3 linked regions of the Tamandua tetradactyla genome follow. The protein of the gene in region 3 binds, or shares a complex with, the protein of the main gene of each other region. Links are inferred from orthologs where the notes say so. Each region holds a gene or a part of one and is shown on either strand. Other genes may lie near its edges.

Region 1 (7,295 bases), on a different chromosome or scaffold from region 3:
GAGAGGCTGCAGCTCAGGCCGGTGCTGCACGGCTGAGGAGACTGACAGAGCCAGGGGCAAGGCCAGGGACCGAGGCCAGGGGTACAGCGGTGGCCCATCTCGGTCTGAATGCTTCAAGCTGTTGCGCAGGGACAGGGGACTGGCAGGTGGGCTGGGGGGTGCCCGCTCAAACACTTGGGTCTCTGAGTCCAGCACCATTCTGTCCTGGGGGTCACATTCAGCTATGTCACTCCAACTCCCCTCACTGTTGACCTCTGGGGACACAGAAGGGCGTGTAAAGGCCAGTGTGAGTGGTGTGGCCTGAGGACCAGCAGGCCCTGTGCTCTGCACTATCTTGCTGCGCTCAGGGCCTGCTGCCAGGGGTCTGAGTGACTGTCCCCCACCCTCAGCCCAGCATCCCTCCCCTCCTGCAGGCCCATCCAAGCAGGCTGAGCTAGGGGAAAGCAGGAGGAATGGTCTTGTACACCAACCCAGATGGTGGTTACTGGAATCCCCTCAGTCTGTGAGCTCCTGCAGGCAGGACTGTCTCCCTACTCATGGTTCTAATGGCTCCTCAGCACCCACCATGTCTGGAAGCTGGTATGGTGCAGCCTGAGCTGCGTGGATGGATGGCTGGTGAAGGGCCTCAGCTGCCTCAGGGCTTATGGCATCTTCTCAGCCCCACCTCTCCCCTCCCACCTGGCTCCGCCCACCTCCTCCCATCCATCCCGTGCTTGCCTGAGTGGCCTTTGCTTATGCTAGCCCCTCCACCTGGAATGCCCTCTCTCCTCTGGACCATCTCTTTAAGTCCAAATTAGAATCAGCTTTTGGGGAGGTGGGAGGAAATTTCAGCAAATCCCAGCCACTCCCTGGCCTGCCCCTCTATCTGAAGTTCACCCCCCTGAGGCATCTTCCCAGGGATCATCCAAGGCCAATGTGGGGACACTCACCCCTTGACTCTGTGCCAGGACTCAGTCCAATCCAGTCTCTCCCCAGAGACTGACTGAAGGCTCCAGCCTCTGAGCCAATCTTTTGCCTGCCAGCATTTCTTTCTCCTACATCATCAATTTCTTCCTTTCTACTGGATTATTTCCATCAGTATAAACATATGCTGTTATTTCTCCATCTTAAAAGATAAAACAAAACCCTCATTTGGCCCCACACTTCTCCAGCTTTGCCCACTGAATGTCCCTCCAACTGCTCCTCATTGCAACACAACTCCTCAAGAGCTGTCCACACTCTGTCCAGTTCCTTCTTTCCTGTTCTCTCTTACATATGCTCCAATTAAGCTTTTACTGTCCCCCACTCTCTGTGCAGGTTGATCTGATCAAGGTCACCAATGGTGTTCATATTCAGCAGCAATACCTGATACAGGTAATCACTTCCTCCTAGAAACACTTTGTTTACTTGGCTTCCGGAACACTTTAACTTGGTTCTCCTCCTACTTCATTGGCTCTTTCTCCTTGGTCTCCCTTGCTGGTTCATCCCTATCTTTCCGACCTCCTAACACAGTAAGGACCCCAGAATTGTATATGGAAACTTTTCTCTCCTCTCCCCCATTTATACTCACTCCCCCTGTGACCTCCTCCACTCTCATGGCTTTAAAATACATCAGCCCAGACTTCTTCCATAAACTTCAAACCAGTGTTGCCAGTTTTCAATGCAACATCTTCACTTGACTATATCACGGGCTTCTCAAACCGAACAAGTCCCCTTCCTGGAATGCTTTCCCCACTTCAAGTGCCTGGGTCACTCCTTCACTTTCTTCACATCTTCACACAAATTATCGTTATTAGAAAAGCCTTCCTGAACACACCCCCTATAAAATAGTAACTTTCCTCCTTCCTCTACCATTGTCTCCTCTTCCCTGCCTTATTTTTCTCCGTAGCGGTTATCATCATCTGAAGGACATGTGTTTGATAGTTACCTGTTTCCTCGTCTCCAGTGTTCACTCAGAACCCAGCTGTGTCCTCAGAACCCAGAGCAGTGCCTGACCCAGAGGGGTTGCTCAATAAAGCAACTCAGGAGTCCTTCTCTTTCTCAGAATAATTTCTTCCCCTGTACCTTGTTCCATCAAGCCTAATTGTCCCCCTCAGTATGTCATCCATACCCACACCCACAGCCTAGTGACCAGCTACTTGAAAAGGCTTCAACTTACCACCTTCAACTAACTGGGCACTTTACTGGACACGCCCCCCCCCCCCCCATATCTGGAGCAGTCCTCTCCATGTCCCCTTCTTTCATTTAACCTACCTCCTTGCAATCACCAGCATACACCTGTTTCTTTCATGTCTGAGGTCCTTCCACCAGGAACGCCCTCCCAATGTCTCCCTGGAGCAAACTCCTAACCATCCTTCAGGGCTCAGTTCAGGCCTCACCTCCATCCGGGAGCCTTCCCGGCGTCTAGAGGTTCCCCAGTGCCTAAGCGGGCTTCTCCACCGCCTCGGACTGTCACTGCCGGAGCCTGCGTCCGTGTCTCCCCACCATCCGCTGAATTCCCCAAGGGCAGGGAGGGGTCTGATTCGCCCCCATTTCCCAAGCACCCAACATTAGATGCAGAATGAATGAACGGACGGAAGGGGGAGGAGCCTCCAATTACCGAAGGCGGGATCTGCTGACAAATGAGAGGGCGTGGCCTGCACCAATGAGACCCGGGAAGAGGATAACGTGGAAGAAGGGCCAATAAGGGTAGAGATCGTGGAGGGGCGTGACCCGCAGCCAATAAATGGCGACGGATGGGTGAAGGGCGGGGCCAATGGAGGGCGGGGCCGGAGGACAATGGAGGGGTTCTGTGCTAGATGAGGAAGGACCGCGTCGCGCGCCCACTCGTCCTCTCTCTGAGGTGTCCCGTCGCGTGCCGCGCCCCCCCACCTGTCAGCTCTTTTGTCCGCCGTTCCCGCTCTGCGATGCCGGTAGCTGCCCGCCCAGTCCGCGGGAGCCGACGCCGGCAACGCACGCACTCGGGCGCACGCCTGCCTACACGAAGGCGCGCGGGTTCACGTCAGCCTTCTTGGCGGCGCGCTCCCGAGACCACAGCCCGGCGCAGGGCAAAGCGAGGCCAAGGGGGCGGTGCCCTCATATCGGCCACGCCCATGGGCGGGGAATTCCTCCTAGGTCCGCCCCCTCAGCGAGAGCTAGGGCTGTTTCAGGGCTCCCGGTGCGACCCGGCCCTCTGCAGGGCGGAAGCTACTGAGGCTCTCCGACCCTGCACGGGATATTGGGGGCGTAGTCCGCGCAGAGGGGCAAGGGTTCGGGAACTTGGGAACACACTTCACACACGGGGTCGATGCTCGGACAGGTGGAGGCGCAGTCAGGAGCCAGGATACCTTAGAGGTGTCAATGTGCGTGGACCCCTTACCCTTCGCGGGCACTTTTAATTCTTTCCCCCTTCCCCAGCACACATAGATCCAGGCGCGCGGGAGCTGTGGCTTTATACCGCGGGCCGCCGGGCATCAAGCACAGGGCCCCGACGGGAGGCAGGAGGACTGCGCGGGCGTAGGCGCGGCCACGAGGCTGAAGAGTGCGTGGCGGCCAGCTAGGGGCGAGGGCGGCGGGCCGGCCTGCAGGGAGCTGAGGGCGGCCAGGCGCTGCTCTCGGGACACGTCCCCGCGTAGGTCCAGGAGGGCGGAGATGTGATCTTCGCTGCGGGGGCACCAAGGAAGCGCGTCAGACTAGTCCCTCCACGGCTCCTCCTCCCTCCCCACCTCAGGCTCGCACCTCACGTCGGGAAATTGTTGCCGCAAGCCTGCCACTTCCAGGCTGAGCAGCGTGGGGTCGCGGAGGTTCAGCAGCTCCCGCAGAGCGAGCAGCACCGGTGTGCACTGCGCGTTCTCCTGCAGGCCCTGCGCACGTCGGGTAGGGTCTCGCACCCGCCCCCCATCCAACCACCCGAGATCCCCATGCACCCACCCGCCCCCTTCTCCCCCGACCCCCCACCCCGCGCCCTCACCAAACCGAGGAAGAGCTCCTGAAGCTGGGCGGCATCTTGTCGCAGGCGCTCGGCCGCCTGGGTCCGCTCATCGGAGTAGCGGCATACTAGGCGGCCTTGCATTAGCGCGTGTAGATACTGCAGCACCACGGTGCGCTCGGCCTCGGCCAGCAGCAGCTGCCGGGAGGGTGATCAGGCCAGTTCAGGTCGCCGTTTTCACCCGCGACGTGCCTCCCACCCCTTCCCGCCTCCATCCGCACCTGGACGGTAGGACATCGCACGCGCCAGAAATCCCGGCAGAAAAGCGCTGTCCGCTCGCATATAGAGTCCAGTAGATCAGAGCTCGACAGCCACTGACGCGAGGGCAGACCCGCAAACAGGGGCTGGGGGCGGGGAGGGGGCGCAGGGGGGCTGGGGGAACGATCCAGATCCGGCACTCCCCGCAGAGACCCTCCAACATGTGCTTCACCTCCCACCTCCATCCCCACTGAAGCCTCACCTGGAGCTCCACCAGCAGCACCTCCAGCACCAGGCGGTAGATCCTCCTCTGCAACTCGTCCAGGGCGGTTTCCAAAGGTGCCAAGGCCCCTGAAGCCACCCCGTCGGGCTGCAGGGCCGGCAGTGAGGAGCTGACCGACGAAAAATAAGGCTTCAGGACCAAGGCCAAGGCCCGCAGGGTCCGATTGTCCAGCCAATCGGGCGCCACCTAGTGGCGCATGTATGTGGTGTGAGGAGGCGAACCGGCTTCTCCCTGCACTTCTGAAGGGCAGAGGCCTGAACTGAGGCTGCGAGTGGTGGCGAAGGATAGCTCAAAGGGGCTCAGCCCCAACCCGACCTGCCTCTAACTCGAGGTGTGACCTTGGGCAAGTCGTGTCTTTAGGTTCCTGATTCTCATCCGTAAGGGGAGGGAGTTAAACTCAAGAGCCGGTAAAAATCACTAACTGGTCTGACCTCCCTGCTCACCCATCCGCCACAATGAGCATAAGACCCAACAGGAAGGGAATTTTTCTGCTTTGTTCATAGCTGTAATCCCAGACATTACCTGGCACGGAGCTGGACCTAGATACATATTTGTCGAACAAATAATTAATTGAGCACTACTTTATGCCAGGCACTGTGGTAGGTACATCTGTTATCTCATGTGCTTCTCAGAACATTAATTATTACCCACATAGTACTAATGAGAAAACTGAGATTCAAAGAGATTAGATAATTTGCCCAAGGTTGCAGCTATTAATTAGCAGAGCTAGGATTGGAACCTGAGGCTATGTGAGTTTACAGTCCCTACTGGCCTAGCGTGGGCTGGATACATACATAAAAGGTGCTGGGGAAGAGGAGATGAAGGTGGTCTTCCGTGTAAACCTCCTGGTACCTGAGTGCTGAATGGTGGTTGAGGGCAGCCAGTAGGTAGGGCACGTAGTGAGGGGCCATTGCTTCACCCCTGAGATGGTCTCGGGAGAATCGAATCAGAGCATCACTGAAGCTGAAGTGGGCAGAGGTGGCTCCAGTATCTGTGATCATTCTGGTGTCCCAGAGTGACCCCAGTCCCTGGCACTCCTGCCCCACCTCCAAGATACCCAAGGCCCAGTGTGAAGGTGCCCTTTCTTATTGGTGTGTCATGTCACTATGAGCCCCTTTGGTCTTCCCTGGATGCAGGGTTGGGGGTGGGGAGTGGGTCAGTGTCTTGGCAGACCTCCTCAGGAATGCACCCAGTTCTGACAGTGCCATGCTGTATACCCGCCGCTGCAGTGACTCACTGACCAGACTGGTCACACGAATGTTCTCATCCAGGATCTACAGGGAGGGATGGGCAGCCATCAGCAAAGCCCATAGCCTTGCCCTCCTCCCCTTTCCCCATCTGGGCTGTCCACCTGCCTGGCCACCCCCCACCCACCTGCAGCACGATGGCTGGCATTGGTGAGTAGTAGAAGCCGGATGGGTCCATGTCTGGCTCCTGTTCCTGGCCCCACTTGGCTACCTCCCCATCCAGTGCCTTCTGCAGCCACTGGGCCACACTTGCCTGGGGAAAGGGGTAAGAAGCAGCAGGAGGTAGCAACGCACTGACCTTGCCAGAGACAGTGACTGTACAGACAAAAACCTACAACTAATGATCAGGGCTGCTCTGGACCCATGCCCCAACCACTCACCTGGACTTTGGCCACAAACGTTGTCTCCAGCCACTCCACATCCTCCAGGGACAGTAGGGGCTCCAGCTGAGACACATCAGCCTCTGGCCCTAACTCCAGACTCCCCATCATTTCTGGCCTGAAGATGGGTAGCTGGGGGTCATAATGAGTCCCCAGTCTCCAATCCACCCACTTCCCGCTGCCCTCAGGGCACTGACCCCAGGTACACATGCAGGGCCCAATGCAGAAGGGTGAAGGCGTCAGCAGCACCCAGCTCAGGCCCTGCAAGGACCTGCTGCAGGCTGCGACGCAGGCCTCTGTGCAGGGTATGAGCCCATAGCTGGACCACCTTGTAGTGCGGTGGGCAGCAGGGTGCTACTAATGCCTCAGCTGTGGCCAACTCGGCTGGCAGTGCCACCTGCAGAGCCTCCAGCCACTCTGCTAGGGCACCTGGCCCAGGCAGTAGATGTGTCCCAAAGTGGACCCGCTCCAGGCCGTCCTGTAGAGCCTGCAGACAGCGCTGCCGCCAGTTCCGGGGGGCCTGCCCCAAGGCAGTTGTGCGTCTAGTCTCCACCTCAGCCACGCGCACAGCAGCCACCAGCAGGGCAGGGTCCTCCCGGGCCAGCTGTCCTGCAGTTCCTGCAACCATCTCCACAGCCTGGCCCAGTGCCTCAGCCAGAGGGCCTAGCCCCTCAAGATCTGGCAACTCCAGGTCCCCTAGGTGTGCCCAGGTCTCCTCTCTCAGCTGCTCCAGCTCCCGCAGGCTCACATATGCCTCGAGGAGTTGCTGGGCATCAATCAGGGACTGTGTGTGGGTCACTGCAGCAGGCACTAATGAAGAACACAGGAGACAGCCCTGGTCTCAGAGTTAATACCTGTGCAACAGGTGCAGCAGGTGAGGAGACCTGGGCTGGGGTGATATGTAAATGTTAATAATCAGTACGGTGGAACACTGGCCCATTGGAAGGGCACAAGTGAAATTCTAGAAGCCTGGTGGACCATGTGTGGACCCTTGGGCTGATGGAACAAGAGGAAGTCAGGGATTCCAGAAGAAGTTAGGGACCACACAAATGGCTTTTCACCCACCCTGTTAGGAAAATAGTTCACTGTAACCAGGGTGCCTGTGTATCAGTCCTAATTCAGACAACCCATGCTTGGAAAACCCAGGATGAACTGAATTACATATGCTTCACATGTCATTTGAACCCTGGGAGGTTCCTGGTGTGTCCCTCCATGTGATCCCCACCTAGTGCCCCAGCCCC
Region 2 (6,947 bases), on a different chromosome or scaffold from region 3:
TACTACCAGGGAAAACCCAGACACTGTATCAAAAATTAGGGACACCCAAATCAATAGGCCAAACCCTTGATCTTGAGGCTTGCTCTTGTGAAGCTCATGTATGCAGCAAAGAAGCATAGCCTACCTATATGTATGCCTAAGTGCCACTTCCCCAAGGACCTCTTTTGTTGCTCAGATGTGACCTCTTTCGCTTGCTCTCTAAGCCCAATTCTGTAAGTGAAACCACTGCCTCCCCACTACATTGGACATGACATCCAGGGATGAAAGTCTCCCTAGCAGCATGGGAGATGACCCCCAGGGATGAGTCTGGCTCGGGTACCAAGGGATCAACAATGTCATCCTGACGAAAAGGGGGAAAAGAAGTGCAACAAACTCTCTCAGTGGCTGAGAGAGTTCAAATAGAGTCAAGAGGCTACTCTGGAGGTCACTCTTACACAAGCTGCAGTTAGACACTGCTGCTATCATAACTTGCCAAACCCCAACCAAAACCATTCCTGCCAATCCTAAAGAATACTTAGGGCATATACGAGAATCTACAAAGGTTCTATGCACTAGGGCAACATTCCAGAAACCTACAATCTCCAGATGGGTCCCTGGACCAGATAAGTCCTGAAATGCAGAGAGGCCAGCCTCTCCAGAACATCAACTAGTTCCATGCCCCTACCCTACATTATCAACAGCCCCTTCCAACATGAAAAAATTAGACTGGCCATAGCCCAAATACCCCTAAAGAGTGAGAGGAAGATCAAAGGTGATGTAGGAGTTATACAGAAAAGATAGGGTTTAAAAAATGAGTGTGAGTGCTGAATCAGCATACTGATATTTCTTTTAGTCTCCAGTACCTTAGAGCAGCTAGAAATAAAAACCTAAAATTGTGGAATTGTAACCCATATCAAATTCTGAAATCTGTTCTACAACTAATTGTTGCAATGTACTTTGAAATCTACTGCTTTGTGTTTATATGTTTTCTTTCACAAAAAGGAAAAAACAGAGAAAGAAAAGTATATTAAAGAAGATAGAATTTAAAAAATGAATATGACCGCTGAATCAGTATACTGATATTTCTTTTGATCTCCAGTGTCTTGGAGCAGCTAGAAGAAAAAAAGAAAAATCATGGAATTGTAACCCATACCAAACTTTAAAATCTGAGGTATAATTACTTGTGAAAATGTACCTGGAAATTTATTGCTTTTATGTATAAATATTTTTCACAATAAAAAAAAGTTTTAAAAAAAATACTAAAGCAATGGGTTTAATCCCTATAACCTACAAAACGTGTTTGTCCTTATGACTAATTCAAGTCTAGCTGTGACACAGGCTACCAGCTCCAACTGCTGAAACCCTGCCGCAAGGGAAATGCCTGTTCAGCAAGCTTTCAAAACTGGTCAACTAAACTCTTTTCTGAAAGGGTTCTCTCTCTTCTTTTAGGCTTTCATCAGAATAAAGGCAATGTTTTCTTAGAATGCAAACTTTAAATTAAACGCAGGATTACACAAATACCCTTAATTTTGTACCAAAAACAAAGCACCTGAAGTTATTCCATAAATTTGATTATAATTTAACTATGAGAAGCACTTGATTTGTAAAGCTCTGAGAGCATGAAATGACAGAGTCGTAATCCACTAAGAATATCAGGACCTTACAAACTGGACTCAATAACAAGGTCACCCAGTTCTCCAAAACTGGTATCAACCAAAGATGACCATTATGATTGCACACAATCCATTTAGAAAGTAATTTCCAGTTGGGGGATTCACAACTCATGTTTTCTAATTTAAGTACCAAATTCCGTCAGCGAATGGCTCCCGAATCAAGGGTTTGACGACTGATGCATGCCTTACCATCCTCTAGTGCCCCCCCCCCACCCGTGCAAGTCAGAGAAGCTTCTAGACCACAGCCCTGAGCACCCCCAACATCACCTGCCCTGCACTCCAGACGAAAGCCCCATGCCTTGCATGGCCGCTAAAGGTTCCAGGACATTCCTGAAACAGGAGCGCACCCAGGGAGTTGGAGAGCAGAGCTAGGGACCCCATGCTCTCCCCAGGCCACACCAAGGTGTACAGAGGACCAGGACATGGGAGGAGACACATTCGCACTGGCCCGCGCTAACCCGGCGCTGCCTCCAGAACCCGGTGTCGGCCTCGGAAGGTACCCATAGCCCAGGACGGTGCCCGTAGCGCGGGACGCTGTCCATCAGCCTCCGACGGTGCCTGTAGCCCGGGACGGTGAATGCCAGTCCCCGACGGTGCCACTCAGCCCCCATGCACGTAGCCCCGGATGGTGCCCATCAACCCTCTCCCCGCCAACTATGCCCGTCAGCACCGGACCGGGCCTGTCATTATTCCCCGACGGTGCCCGTCAGCCGAGGACCGGGCCTGTCATCCCTCGAGGAAGCCTGTCATCTCCAGACGGTGCCCGTCGCCACCGACGGCGCGGTCGGACTCGGCACAAAGGCCCGCCCCGCCCTTCCCGACCCCGGCCCGTCCCGGGCGCGGCCCACCTAGGCCATAGGCCTTGGCGCAGATCCACTGGAGGTTGGCGGCGATCTTGGCCCTGGCCGAGTCGTAGCGGTCCAGCGGCACGATGTCCACGGCACCGTCCGGCGGAGCCTCCATCTTCCTCCAGGCGCCCTCTCCCGCCGAGCAGCCCCCGGCGTCCACCATCTGCAGACAAAAAGGGCCGGGCTGCGGTGCGCGCGGCCTCCTCTCCCCCGACCCAGCCCGCGGCCGCAACAAAGGCCCGGCCGGCCGCGCCGCCCTCCCGGCGGGGCCCAGATGCAAGCGAGGAGGCCGCGCGCGCCGGTCCACCTGCCGGTCCGCACCGCCCTCCCAGCGGGGCCCAGGTGCAGGCGAGGAGGCCGCGCGCGCTGGTTCACCTGTCGGGCCCACCTGCCCGCCCGCCCGCGCCGCTCCGGCCTCACCTCAGAGCCGCCGCCGCCGCCGCCGCCGCCGCGGCTGCCTCATGCTGCAGGGCCGAGACCTGAGGCGCGGGCAGGGACAGGGCCCAGGCAGGCGGCGATGGCGGGCGGGCGCGCGGGCGGGCGGGGGCGCGGGCGCGGTCCCGGCGCTGCCAGGCGAGGACGGCGGCTCTGAAGGTTCGCGGACAACGGCGGGGAGCGCGCGCGACGCCGCGACGCCTGCGCAGGCGCAGTGGGCGCGGCTTCGACCCTCGCCCCGCCCCCTCCCGCCCCTTCCCGCAAGCGCTGAGGCTGCTAGCCGGGAGCCGGCTGGGGGTCGTGGCTGTGGACCGATTCCCGCGGAGCTCCCGGCGTTCCATTGTCTGCGCCCTGCCGCGCCCTCCCGGGAGTTGGGGATGTCCGGGCCAAGGCCGACCCCCAGCTGCCGCCGTCTGACGGGGCCGAGCCCGAGAGACCCCTGCGCTCCTGGAGGGCCTGGGCCGCCCCGGGGTACCGCGCGATCCCGGCCCCTTGCCGCGGGCCGACAGCAACCTCGGAATGCAGCGGCCCGGGTGGGCGGGAGCTCCTGGAGCCCGCTGTCCCCCACCCAGGAGCAGTCCCGAGACCCGCGCACCCTGGAGCAGAGCTTAAAACCCGAGAACCCTTCTCCCAAGAGCAGCGCTCCGAGCCCAGGCACCCACTACCCCGAAAGGCGGTCGGAGCTTGGGAATCCCTCTGAGCAGAGCTTGGAACCCAGGGACCCTACACACCGAGAGCAGCCCGAGACCCCTACATCCCCTGAGCACCCCTTGAAGCCAGGGACCCCCACCCCCCAAGTGCAGCGCTCGGAGCCCAGGCATCCTCCCACACCCGACGCAGCGCTTGGAACCTGACACCTCCCCTCCGGCGCAGCGCTTTGGACCCGAGGACCCCGCCCCGAGAGCGCTCTAGGCCCCTAGGTGCGCGGTCCAGAAGCGCCCTGAGCGGACCGGCCCACTGCCCACTCAGCCGGGCCATGGAGTGGGGAGCTTGGAACAAGGGACAAATATCGGCATCCTTCGAGGCCAGTGCAGAAGAGGCGCTGGCTGCGAACTAATAAAATCCGCACCCAAGGGCCCGTGTCAGGTTCCTAACTGTAATTACACTGACGCTGGGAGCCCTTGTATGCACATGGCCGTCTGCGTGGGCTCCAGAAACGCACACCTCAGTGTAAGGAGCCCTGACAGTGGGGCCGGCTTACCCTCAGCCTCCGGGTTGAGAATTCCACTAACCTCTCTTCACCACTTCTGAAGCATCTAAAGCTCAGAGGGCTCAGCCACTGTGCAAAAATACTACTCTTGTGCACAGGAGCATAGCAGTGAATGAAATCAATTCTCTGCCCTCCCTGTGGGGCTGGCATTCTAGTAAGGCGAGAAAACAGAATATATACTGCATTAAACAGTGGGAGCTATGGAGGGGAAATAAAAGGTGAAGGAGGAACGCGGAGGACAGGGTAGGGAAGGAAAACCTTAAGGGAGGCATCTCTGAGCAAAGAAGACCTGGAGTAAACGAGGGGCAGTGTGAGGATACCTGGGAAAGTGGAGCTTAGGCAAGGATGCAAAGCTCCTGAGTGGGAGTCTGCCTGGCATACGGAGGAGACCCCTGAAACTGGAACCCAACAGGGAGAAACCAGGAGGAAATGGGGTGGGGGTGGGGGGACTTGGTGGCGGCAGATCTCGCCCAGTGAGAACTTTGCCCTTTCCTTGGTGTTGGGGGATTAGGCAGGAGGGTTTCCGATGTGATGGACCCTTGACGAGGATCCTCTGGGTCCTGGGAGAAGAACATGTTGTAGGGAGGGCAAGAGTGAAGGCGAGGACCGGCTTGGGGGTGGGAGTTCAAATGCCTCAGGTCCAAGGTGGCCATACTGGGCCTGGGGTGGGCGCTGGATCTATGTTGGAGGGAGAGTTGTCGGGAGAGGTGGACAGCTTGGATGTGAGAAAAAGGTGTCCACAATGATTCCAAGGTTTTTTTTTATGTTGACTGTGTATCCTGCAAAATTGCTGAGCTCATTTATTAGTTCTAATGGTTTTTTCAGTGGATTAGGAGGAGTTTCTACATACAAGGGCAAGTCCTTTGCAAATAAAGATAGTTCACCTCTTCCTTTCCAATCTGGTTGCCTTTTTGTTTCATTTTCTTGCCTAATTGCTCTGGACAGAACCTCCAGGACAGTGCAGAATACAAGAAATGAAAGCACCTGTCTCTATCTTGGTTCTGAGCTCCGGAAAATCAGCTATTCCTTCACGATTAAGTATGATGTTAGCTTTGCATTATTCTTTTTTTTTTTTTTTGCAATGTATTTATTATTTTTTAAGTTACTTCATAAATATTTTAAATTTTTGTTTTTAATTCCTACTAGGATAAATATCAATAGATATAATCTACATAAACAAAAGCTCTCTGAGGGTCTCTATAATTGTATGTTTATTTCTTTGTGGGTTTAGGGGACATTACCTGATATAGGCTATCACAAGAGAAAAAGTTATTTGAAGTCGCCTTTCATATTTCTGCATTCTACCATGTTATTTTCCCATTAGTGTAAGTGCTAAAATAATTTTTTTTTTCATTTTATTTTAGGGAAGGAAAGAGGGAAGAAAAAGAAAGAGAGAAAAGAAGGGAGAGAGGAGGAGGAGAAGAAGGGGGAGGAGGGAGGGTCATGTGGTCAGGAGAGCACCACATTCCCCATATGTCCCCAAAATCTTTGTCCAGACCACACCAGAGCAAAATATCAGAGCAAGCTGCACCGACTTTCCACTTCTTGGCCTTGTTTTCAGAGGAACTCGTTCGGCTCACCTGGGCCCTGACATTGTCATCTTCACCTGAGTCACAATATCGAGATCAGACAGTATGTGTCCTTTTGTGTCTGGCTTATTTCACTCAGCATTATGTCCTCCAAGTCCATCCACGTTGTCATGGGCTTTGGGACCTCATTTGGTCTTACTGCTGCATAATATTCCATCATATGGAAATACTACATTTTGTTTATCCACTTTTCCGTTAATAGGCACTTGGATTGTTTCCATTTTTTGGCAATTGTGAACAGTGATGTTTGGCTATGAACATCAGTGTTCAAATGTCTGTTCATGTCACTGCCCTCAGCTCTTCTGGGTATATACCGACTATTGGTATTGCCGTGTCATAGGACAACTCAATATTTAGTTTTCTGAGGAATCACCAAACTGTCTTCCATAGTGGCTGCACCACTATACATTTGCAGCAGCAGTGAGTAAATGTTTCCATTTCTCCATATCCTCTCCAACATTTGTAGTTTCCTGTGTGTTCAATAGCAGGCATTTTTATAGGTGTGAGGTGGTATCTCGTAGTTTTAATTTGCATTTCCCTTGTAGCTAAGGAAGATGAGCATCTGTTCATGTGCTTTTTAGTCATCTGTATTTGCTCTTTGGAAAAATGCCTATTCGTATCTTTAGACCATTTTAGAATTGGTTATATTCTTTGGTTGTTAAGTTGTATGATCTCTTCATGTACGTGGGATATCAAACTTTTATCTGATGTATGGTTTCCAAATAATTTTTCCTATTGAGTTGGCTGCCTCTTCACCTTTTTGACAAAATCCTTTGAGTCCCAGAAGCTTTTGATTCTGAGGGGCTCCCATTTATCTATTTTATCTTTTGTTGCTTGTGCTTTGGGTGTGAAGTTCATGAAACTACCTCCTATTATTAGGATTTGAAGATGTTTCCCTATGTTTTCTCTTAACGTTTTATGGTACTGGCCCTTACATTTATGTCTTTGGTCCACTCAGAGTTAATTTTTATGTAAGGGTGTAAGACGTGCTGTACTGGTTTGAAAGGATTATGTACCCTAAAAAAGCCATGTTTTAATCCTGATCCATCTTGTGGAGGCAGCCATTTCTTTTAATCCCTATTCAGTACTTTAGATTGGAAGCTTGATTCGATTTATCTCCAGGGAGATGTGACACACCCAATTCTGCATATTAACCTTTGATGTAACTCCACCCATTCCAGGTGAGTCTTGATTAGTTTACTGGAATCCTTTA
Region 3 (7,425 bases):
GCATGCACACAGCTCGCTGGACCTTGGCCAGGTCACCACCAGGTACCACAGTGGGAGGCTGGTAATTAATGCCAACCTTGAAGCCAGTGGGACACCAATCCACAAACTGGATGCTGCGCTTGGTCTTGATGGTGGCAATGGCAGCATTGACATCTTTGGGAACCACATCACCACGGTACAGCAGGCAGCAAGCCATGTACTTACCGTGGCGAGGGTCACATTTCACCATCTGGTTGGCTGGCTCAAAGCAAGCATTGGTAATCTCTGCTACAGAAAGCTGTTCATGGTAGGCTTTCTCAGCAGAGATGACGGGGGCATATGTGGCCAGAGGAAAGTGGATGCGGGGATAGGGAACCAGGTTGGTCTGGAATTCTGTCAGATCCACATTCAGGGCACCATCAAACCTGAGGGAAGCAGTGATGGAGGACACGATCTGGCTAATAAGGCGATTAAGATTGGTGTAGGTTGGGCGCTCAATATCAAGGTTTCTACGACAGATGTCATAGATGGCCTCATTGTCTACCATGAAGGCACAATCTGAGTGCTCTAGGGTGGTGTGGGTGGTGAGGATGGAGTTGTAGGGCTCAACTACAGCCGTGGAGACCTGAGGGGCTGGGTAAATGGAGAACTCCAATTTGGACTTCTTGCCGTAATCGACAGAGAGACGTTCCATCAGCAGGGAGGTGAACCCAGAACCGGTTCCCCCACCAAAGCTGTGGAAAACCAAGAAGCCCTGAAGACCTGTGCACTGGTCGGCCTATAGGAAAAGAAAGAAAAAATCAACACCAGGTCACATTTTCTTAGTATTTCAGCATTATTTTAAAATTCAAAAACATGGTTTAAATTTTAAATCACAATATAAAAATATATAGCCATCAATCTAATGCTCTCTACTGATCAAACATGAGAAATTGGCAGGATACACACAACCCAGAGTGGTGCCCAAAACCCAGGGACTATCTGGTTTAGAAACCCAATTAATATATAGTGACCATCCTTTTCAAAGAATGAATGCTGTATTTTGTCTTTCAAATTTGCAACAGAATCCTCCCATCCCACTGAAAATATATTTACATATGGTATTTACCAGTTTGCGAATTCTGTCCAAGACAAGGTCAATGATCTCCTTGCCAATGGTGTAGTGCCCGCGGGCATAGTTATTGGCAGCATCTTCCTTGCCTGTGATGAGCTGCTCAGGGTGGAAGAGCTGGCGGTAGGTGCCAGTGCGGACTTCATCTGGAAAAGGAAAACAAAGCACCACCCATTACTAACAACCTGCACAAGCCTACTTAACCTTGGGGGCATAAATGGAGCCCCCAGAACAGACCTGTCCCAGACTCCTGCAATCTCACTCAGGTTACTGAGTTCCACTCACCAATGACTGTGGGTTCCAGATCTACAAACACTGCCCTGGGCACATGCTTGCCGGCGCCTGTCTCACTGAAGAAGGTGTTGAAGGAGTCATCTCCTCCGCCAATGGTCTTGTCACTTGGCATCTGGCCATCGGGCTGGATGCCGTGTTCCAGGCAGTAGAGCTCCCAGCAGGCATTGCCAATCTGGACACCAGCCTGGCCGACGTGGATAGAGATGCACTCACGCTGTGGAAAGGGGGGGAAAAAATCAGAATTGATTAGTCTTTACAAGTTTCTTGTATAATAAATTCTTGTTTGTAGGTGAGAAGGGTTATATTTTTTAATCTACATTATTTTAACAGCCAGCCCCTTATTTGAGAAGACCCTTTTCCAGACCAAGAGAGCTTAGTCACAGCTCCTTCTTTTGTACCATAAAGAATAGGAGGTCATCGGTCTAGCGCCCAGGCACCAAGCTTCCACTTCAAGCTAGGTGGCCAGATTTCCCGATAGCTCCCAGTGCAGGAAATACGTAGCCAGAGTAGTGCAGAGGAAATGTGCTGCAGGAGGGATGATGGGCGGGGCTCTGCGGCTCAGGATGAATGAGCAATTTTGGGTGCGCAATTCCGCGCCCCCGTGCGGCAGCAGGGGCCGCGCAGCTGCAGAGGCCCGCAATGGCTATGTAACCACCCATCTTCCCCTTTCCGCGGGCGTTGGGCTTAGCCCAGCACTTCCACATCTGTCAGGGGATTATCATCAGCCCAGATCCGGACTAAGATCCAATTTCTGTTCCCTCAAAATCCCTCATGGCCACCACCTGTTACCACAGGCATTCCTAACATAGCAGGAAAGCTAGGGAGGGGCAGGTGGGCCCTACAGAATGCAGTTTCCTACTGCACTGGAGTAATATAGTACACTAAGAACCCCGCTCCACGGACATGGAATTGTTCTCAGCTAAAGTAAAGGAGACACGCCCTCCAGCCGCAAAACCTCGGTTCCTACTCCACCCCAGTGCGCACGCGCGCGAATCTCAGCGGCTGTTTCCCGCCGCTCACTGGCGGGAAAGTAACGGTCGCGCGTGCGCCTTTGTCTCTTTCCCGCCCCCGCTTTTGGCGCTGAGAACTGAGGGCGAGGAGACCCGGCGCGCGCCCGCCAAAGGCGGGGGAAGAAATGGGGTATGAGGGCGCGCGGGAAAAGATGGCTGCGTCTTGAACTGGAGCCGAGACGCCGCGCCTAGGCGTTAGAGACTGAAAAACAACCCAACCACAGGAGAGCCCGCGCCCGGCCATCCGCTCGCAAAATTCGAGAAAACTGGGCGGCTCCTCTTCCCCGGTTCCAACCGACCTCTACAAACCGTGTTTTCATCTACTTCACCGTCACTCTAACGCCTTGCTTTTTTCTTTTGGTATATCCGGCGTTGGTCCCCACCCTTTCGGTAGCTAGAGGGCCTCCCTGTCTTCCCAGCTCGATTTTCCTCTTTTTTTCGAGGGAGAGCGGCGCCGTGCGCGGCTCACTTACCATGGTGGCTACGGGTTCGAAGGCAAAGACGACAGGAGGAGTCACCGGGTCCCGGTTACCGTCCCCGACAAGCTAAGAGTCGAGGTAAGTAACGCACTGAGGGAGGGGGAGTGCGCCGGAGCCGCTTAAGTAGCTGCGCAGGGAGGGAGGCGGGCATGGGCGGTACTGCGGCCGCGGGCCCCTCCTCCGGCCCAGCGCGCCCACTCGGCACCCGGCGCTGCCGCCGCAGGGGCGGAGTCCGAGTCGGGTGCCTCCTCCCCTCACAGGCCCCACCCGGCGGAGTCCTCGGCGCCTGCGGACCGCGAGTCCGAGTGCTGCAGTCTGTGGCGCATGGCTGCCAGGGCCCAGGCGGAGGATGGGGGGGGGAGGGGCGGCCACAGACTAGGAAGTGAGCCAGCACGGGAATGAGAAGGGAGGCTTTCTTCAATTCGGATGCCTCCTAAGAGAAGTCCATACAATTTTCAAAATCATGCGTTATAAAATGCGGAAACTTCCGATCCGGATAGCTTAGCTGATTATTTCCATGTTACCAGTTTGTCAGTGAGTTTGCTTTTTTCTTAGTTCCTTTAGAGGCAGAGCATTCTATGTTTACTTGATAATGGAGAGGACGCGAGGTTTAGGAAACGTAATAGATTTATTTGATTTACTGTAGCGGCTTGTTTTTTAAACTAAGGGCACCAAAGACTCGAAGCGAATACAATTTCGGTGATTCGAAGAATGGTACATAAGGATTGAATACTGATGCTGTTAAAAGGGTAGAATAGGGCCCATTTTCAAACTTAAAGCCACCACCTTTATGGAGCAGTCTAGGAGCATTTAAAAAAGGAGATTTAAAGACACGTTTCACTTTTGAAAGCTGAATTGAGGAAGTAGGACAAAAACTTGGGTGTAGAGGAAATTGTCTGACAATGAAGGATAAGAGGAAGTAGGGATATTTTATGCTTTTTAGAGTTTTGTAAATAAGACTGCTTCATGTTACCTCAAGATAGATCAGTTGATTAGAGCTTGAGAAACGAATGGACTGGTTTTTTTGTTGTTATTCTGTTTTGTTTTTTTAGGAGAAACTATTCCAAGACCATGAACTATATTATTAACCCTTGGAAATTCAGAAGGTGGTTAGGGTTAAGGTGTGGCTTTAAAATCGTACTAGTACAACTAGTACAGTGCTAGTACTGTAGTTGTTGTTAGATGAGCTATTCAAAGAATCCTCCAATGATCAGTAACAAAAAGGTAAAACAGAAGGCAATAAAAAGTCCTAGTTCATACTCAGTTATCACCTCATTCAGATTTGGTAAAGCCTCCACCCTTCGTTTCAGACAAATTCACTTGTGTATATTTTGTAAGGATATTAATGTATATATTCACCCATATGAGCCTGGCACACAAACAAGAAGGTTCTCATTTATTTCTGGTAAATGTTTTTCATAGCCATATTAAAAGGTTTTTGACTCAGAATCCAAATTTGTACACATTTTCCAAACTGGCTTAGAGGGGACAGGAATATATTTGGGTATTGCTCTAAGGCATTCCTTCCTCCCTTTCTTCCTTATTCTTAAAAGGATACAGAAAATAGTTTGCTTTGACTGGAAGAATGACTGCTGGGGAACCACCCAGCTAAACTCCATTTTGACAACTGCTCTGGATGAAAGCCATTTGAAAGCAGGCACCACCCTCGTCCTAGCTCTCTGCAGAATATCAGAGCTTTTACTGCAGAAATTTGCTCCTGTGGGCCTATAAGTCTCCCCAGATACCGTCCTAAAACCATTAGCTTTGCTAGCCTTGTTATCTGTGTATTCCCCTGTTGTGGATAAGGAAGTATTTTAGATTTTTTTTAGGTCCCTAATGAAAGCTCAGGCTTCACAGAGAAATATAGCCAAAATGGACCTTTAAACATAATCAAGTCTGGTTTCTCAATGCCAGAAAAACATTGAATGGTACTAAATTAATTTATTTTCATAGCTTTTTAGTGCCTGAAAGAAAAACCTGACATTTTTTTCTTTTTTACATACTAAACCTATATGGATCTATTTATTTATATTATATATGCATGAATACACCTTGTCCATATTTAATAACCACATAATGACTGGAGCATGAACATGTTATTATCCATCACTTACCTTTTAATTGATTATGTAGGTCTTTGTTTTGTTGGAGTCTTTTGGAGCCCTAACTATTTGCTTTTAAACTTTTATGTAGTGGGAAACCCTTTGTTGCAATCCGAGCCATTTCCATCTTTGCTACATAATATCATGGCCATTTGCTACTGTTCTAATGAGTCAGTAACTATTTTTGTTCCCTATTGTGGTTAAACACAGGAGTTCACAAAATATTTTGTTCATTTAACTAGCTTTAAAGGGAAATACAACAATAACAAATAGCAACAATTTAACAACTGTTCTTCACAATATTTGGCCTTTCATTCTTATTTATTTCCAGTGTTATCAATATATATATGCATTTTGTGTTCTGCTTTTTCCACAGATAGATGGGATAGGAAAAGAATATGGGTTTTAATTTAAGATATGACTGTATTAAATTCTGACTTTGCTGGTTAGTAATGGTGTGACTTTAGGCCCTTAATTAACTTTCTTGAACTTCATTTGTGAATGGAAATCAATAGTAGCTTGAAATCATCTTTCTTTTTCTTATACTGTGACATTCAAGGTTATTAGTAAATTATGTCAGCTTTGTATCAAAATATACCCACTACTCTTTATCATATCATCCTATTATTTTACAATTCTTATAGAATCTGAAATTATCTTGTTTATGCATTTATTTCTTTAAAGTTTCTCTCATAACTAGAGGGCAAAAATATATCTATTTTTGTGAAAGTCAATCTTGGTAGCCCTTCCTAAACCACCTTCTCCCATTCTGTTTTACCAGGTAGAATCCTAATTTTATTAAAGGGCATTCATGTGCTCAGTCCCAGCGGATGAATCAGGCAATCCAGTTACCTTTGCCAGACGCTTGCTTTCTCAGTGTCTTTTGCCTTTGGACCCAGTTCTGGCCAAGGGGACATGAAGGGAAGTCTTCTAGGGAGTTTCTCAGAGTGATTCTCCTTAATAAAAGGAGAATGCTCCCTTGAGGAAAACCCTTTTATTTTACTCCTTCTCCTTACTTTCTGATTTAGAAGTGTCCCATGAGGATATAATGCCTGGATCCAATTTAAAATCTTAAGGAAATGGAAAGAAAATTATAGAGATGCATTCAGGGAGAATGTGTAGCTCTAAGAAAGTGGTGGCCTTAATAGAGAACCTCAAAGTAGGAAACCTGGCCTTAGTAGAGGACTCTGAAGAATGGCCACATTTAAAGTAGAGAAAAGAAACCCATAAAGGGAGTATGAGAAGGAATGATTAGAGTGGGAGAACTGGGGGTCTAACAATCCAAGGAAAGAGAGAGTTTCAAGAAGGTGCTGCAGAAATCTTAAGTAGGGTAAAGACTGGAAAGCATTCATGGTATATAGAAAACAATATAGCTTCTATTGTTATTAATTTGTTGGACAAATATTTATTGACAGCCTTTTAAGTGTTGGATAGGTATGGTAGTGAACAAAATAAGTCTTTGCCCTCATGGAGTTTATATTCTAATGAAGAATAAAGAAAATGAACATATAGCAAAGAGGTATGAATTATGATGTTAGGTAGTGGTGATTAGGTACCATAAAAAAAAGTATGGGAGAGAGATGAGAGTTACAGAGGAGTGCAATTTTATATAGGGTGCTCTGGGAAAGCCTCTCTAAGGAGGCAGTTATTTGAGCAAAGACTTGAATAAAGTGATAAAACCTGAATAAAGTGATGTAGTAGACATTTAAAGCAGAGGGAATGGCATCAAGTGCAAAGGCTCTGAGGTTGAGTGTGCTTGTCTTTTTAAAGAAATATCAAGAAGGTCAGTGAGACCAGAGCAGAGTAAGTGAAGGGGACAGTGTTATATGAAATGAAATGAGAGAAGTATCAGGATAGATCATGTAAAGGTCTTAATGGCAATGGAAAGACTTTGTGCTTTATTCTAAAAATGATGGGAAGAGATTAGATGGTTTTGAGCAAAGGTATGGCATCATCTATCTTACATTTTAGAATTAGTTACTGTGTGAATAAACTATAGGAGAAAGGAGGAAGATGACTTATATAAGGGTATACATAAGAAATGATGATGACTTATAGTAGTGCAGATAAGAGATGATGGTGGCTTAGACCAGGGTGGTAGTAGTGGAGGTAATAAAAAGTGGTGGGTTTCAAGATACTTTTGAAGGTAGAGCTGACAGGATTTATTAATGGGTTGGATATGGAATGAGTAAGAAAGAGAGGAGTCCATGTCTCCAAGATTTTTGCCTTGAAAAGTGCTGTAGAGGAACAGGTATGAGGGGATGGAGAGAACAAAAAAATGAATTTTGGGTGTATTGAGATGCTGTGTGTTAGAGAAGCGAGTAGAGATGCTTTTTAGGCAGTCGACTAAATGCAGAGAAGAAGTCATGCTGGAGATAAACATAGGGATCATCACTAAAGAGACTAGATGAAATCATCTAGGGAGAAAATGTAGATTAAAAGAAGAGGTC

What was found. Proteins that work in one complex are often made in the same cells at the same time.
Region 1: the proteins of tubulin alpha-1B chain (region 3) and MATCAP1 are in contact, whole or in part, in a cryo-EM structure (PDB 7Z6S), measured with the Homo sapiens proteins. The link is inferred for Tamandua tetradactyla from reciprocal best matches to the Homo sapiens genes TUBA1B and MATCAP1. Residues at the interface, in NP_006073.2 of Homo sapiens: Asp345, Trp346, Arg422, Glu423, Ala426, Ala427, Glu429, Lys430, Asp431, Glu433, Glu434, Val435, Gly436, Val437, Asp438, Ser439, Val440, Glu441; in NP_001035805.1 of Homo sapiens: Lys219, Cys220, Trp223, Val226, Arg227, Gly237, Glu238, Val239, Val240, Val241, Gln242, Leu243, Met253, Met254, Val255, Glu256, Asn257, Ser258, Arg259, Pro260, Thr261.
Region 2: the proteins of tubulin alpha-1B chain (region 3) and CAMSAP1 are in contact, whole or in part, in a cryo-EM structure (PDB 6QUS), measured with the Homo sapiens proteins. The link is inferred for Tamandua tetradactyla from reciprocal best matches to the Homo sapiens genes TUBA1B and CAMSAP1. Residues at the interface, in NP_006073.2 of Homo sapiens: Lys112, Glu113, Asp116, Val409, Gly410, Glu411, Gly412, Glu415; in NP_056262.3 of Homo sapiens: Ser1471, Ser1472, Lys1473, Lys1557, Ile1568, Pro1569, Ala1570, Ser1574, Val1575, Ser1576.

What each region holds. Positions count from the first base shown.
Region 1 is NC_135342.1:60,877,067-60,884,361, forward strand, and holds the start of MATCAP1 (microtubule-associated tyrosine carboxypeptidase 1), read right to left. Parts: upstream 3,008-7,295; 5' UTR 2,851-3,007; intron 2,744-2,850; exon of another isoform or gene 2,358-2,743; intron 2,352-2,357; exon of another isoform or gene 2,233-2,351; intron 2,021-2,232; exon of another isoform or gene 1,907-2,020; intron 1,106-1,906; 5' UTR 930-1,105; intron 255-929; 5' UTR 199-254; coding exon 1-198. Other genes in the region: EXOC3L1 (exocyst complex component 3-like protein), read right to left, coding at 3,432-3,621, 3,697-3,821, 3,929-4,084, 4,168-4,290, 4,407-4,536, 5,280-5,390, 5,601-5,701, 5,802-5,927 and 2 more. UniProt on the Homo sapiens protein: Tyrosine carboxypeptidase that removes the C-terminal tyrosine residue of alpha-tubulin, thereby regulating microtubule dynamics and function. Also able to remove the C-terminal phenylalanine residue of alpha-tubulin TUBA8.
Region 2 is NC_135328.1:125,414,081-125,421,027, forward strand, and holds the start of CAMSAP1 (calmodulin-regulated spectrin-associated protein 1), read right to left. Parts: upstream 3,008-6,947; 5' UTR 2,921-3,007; intron 2,664-2,920; coding exon 2,501-2,663; intron 1-2,500. UniProt on the Homo sapiens protein: Key microtubule-organizing protein that specifically binds the minus-end of non-centrosomal microtubules and regulates their dynamics and organization. Specifically recognizes growing microtubule minus-ends and stabilizes microtubules.
Region 3 is NC_135333.1:110,001,192-110,008,616, forward strand, and holds the start of tubulin alpha-1B chain, read right to left. Parts: upstream 3,003-7,425; 5' UTR 2,871-3,002; coding exon 2,868-2,870; intron 1,599-2,867; coding exon 1,376-1,598; intron 1,237-1,375; coding exon 1,088-1,236; intron 758-1,087; coding exon 1-757. UniProt on the Homo sapiens protein: Tubulin is the major constituent of microtubules, protein filaments consisting of alpha- and beta-tubulin heterodimers. Microtubules grow by the addition of GTP-tubulin dimers to the microtubule end, where a stabilizing cap forms.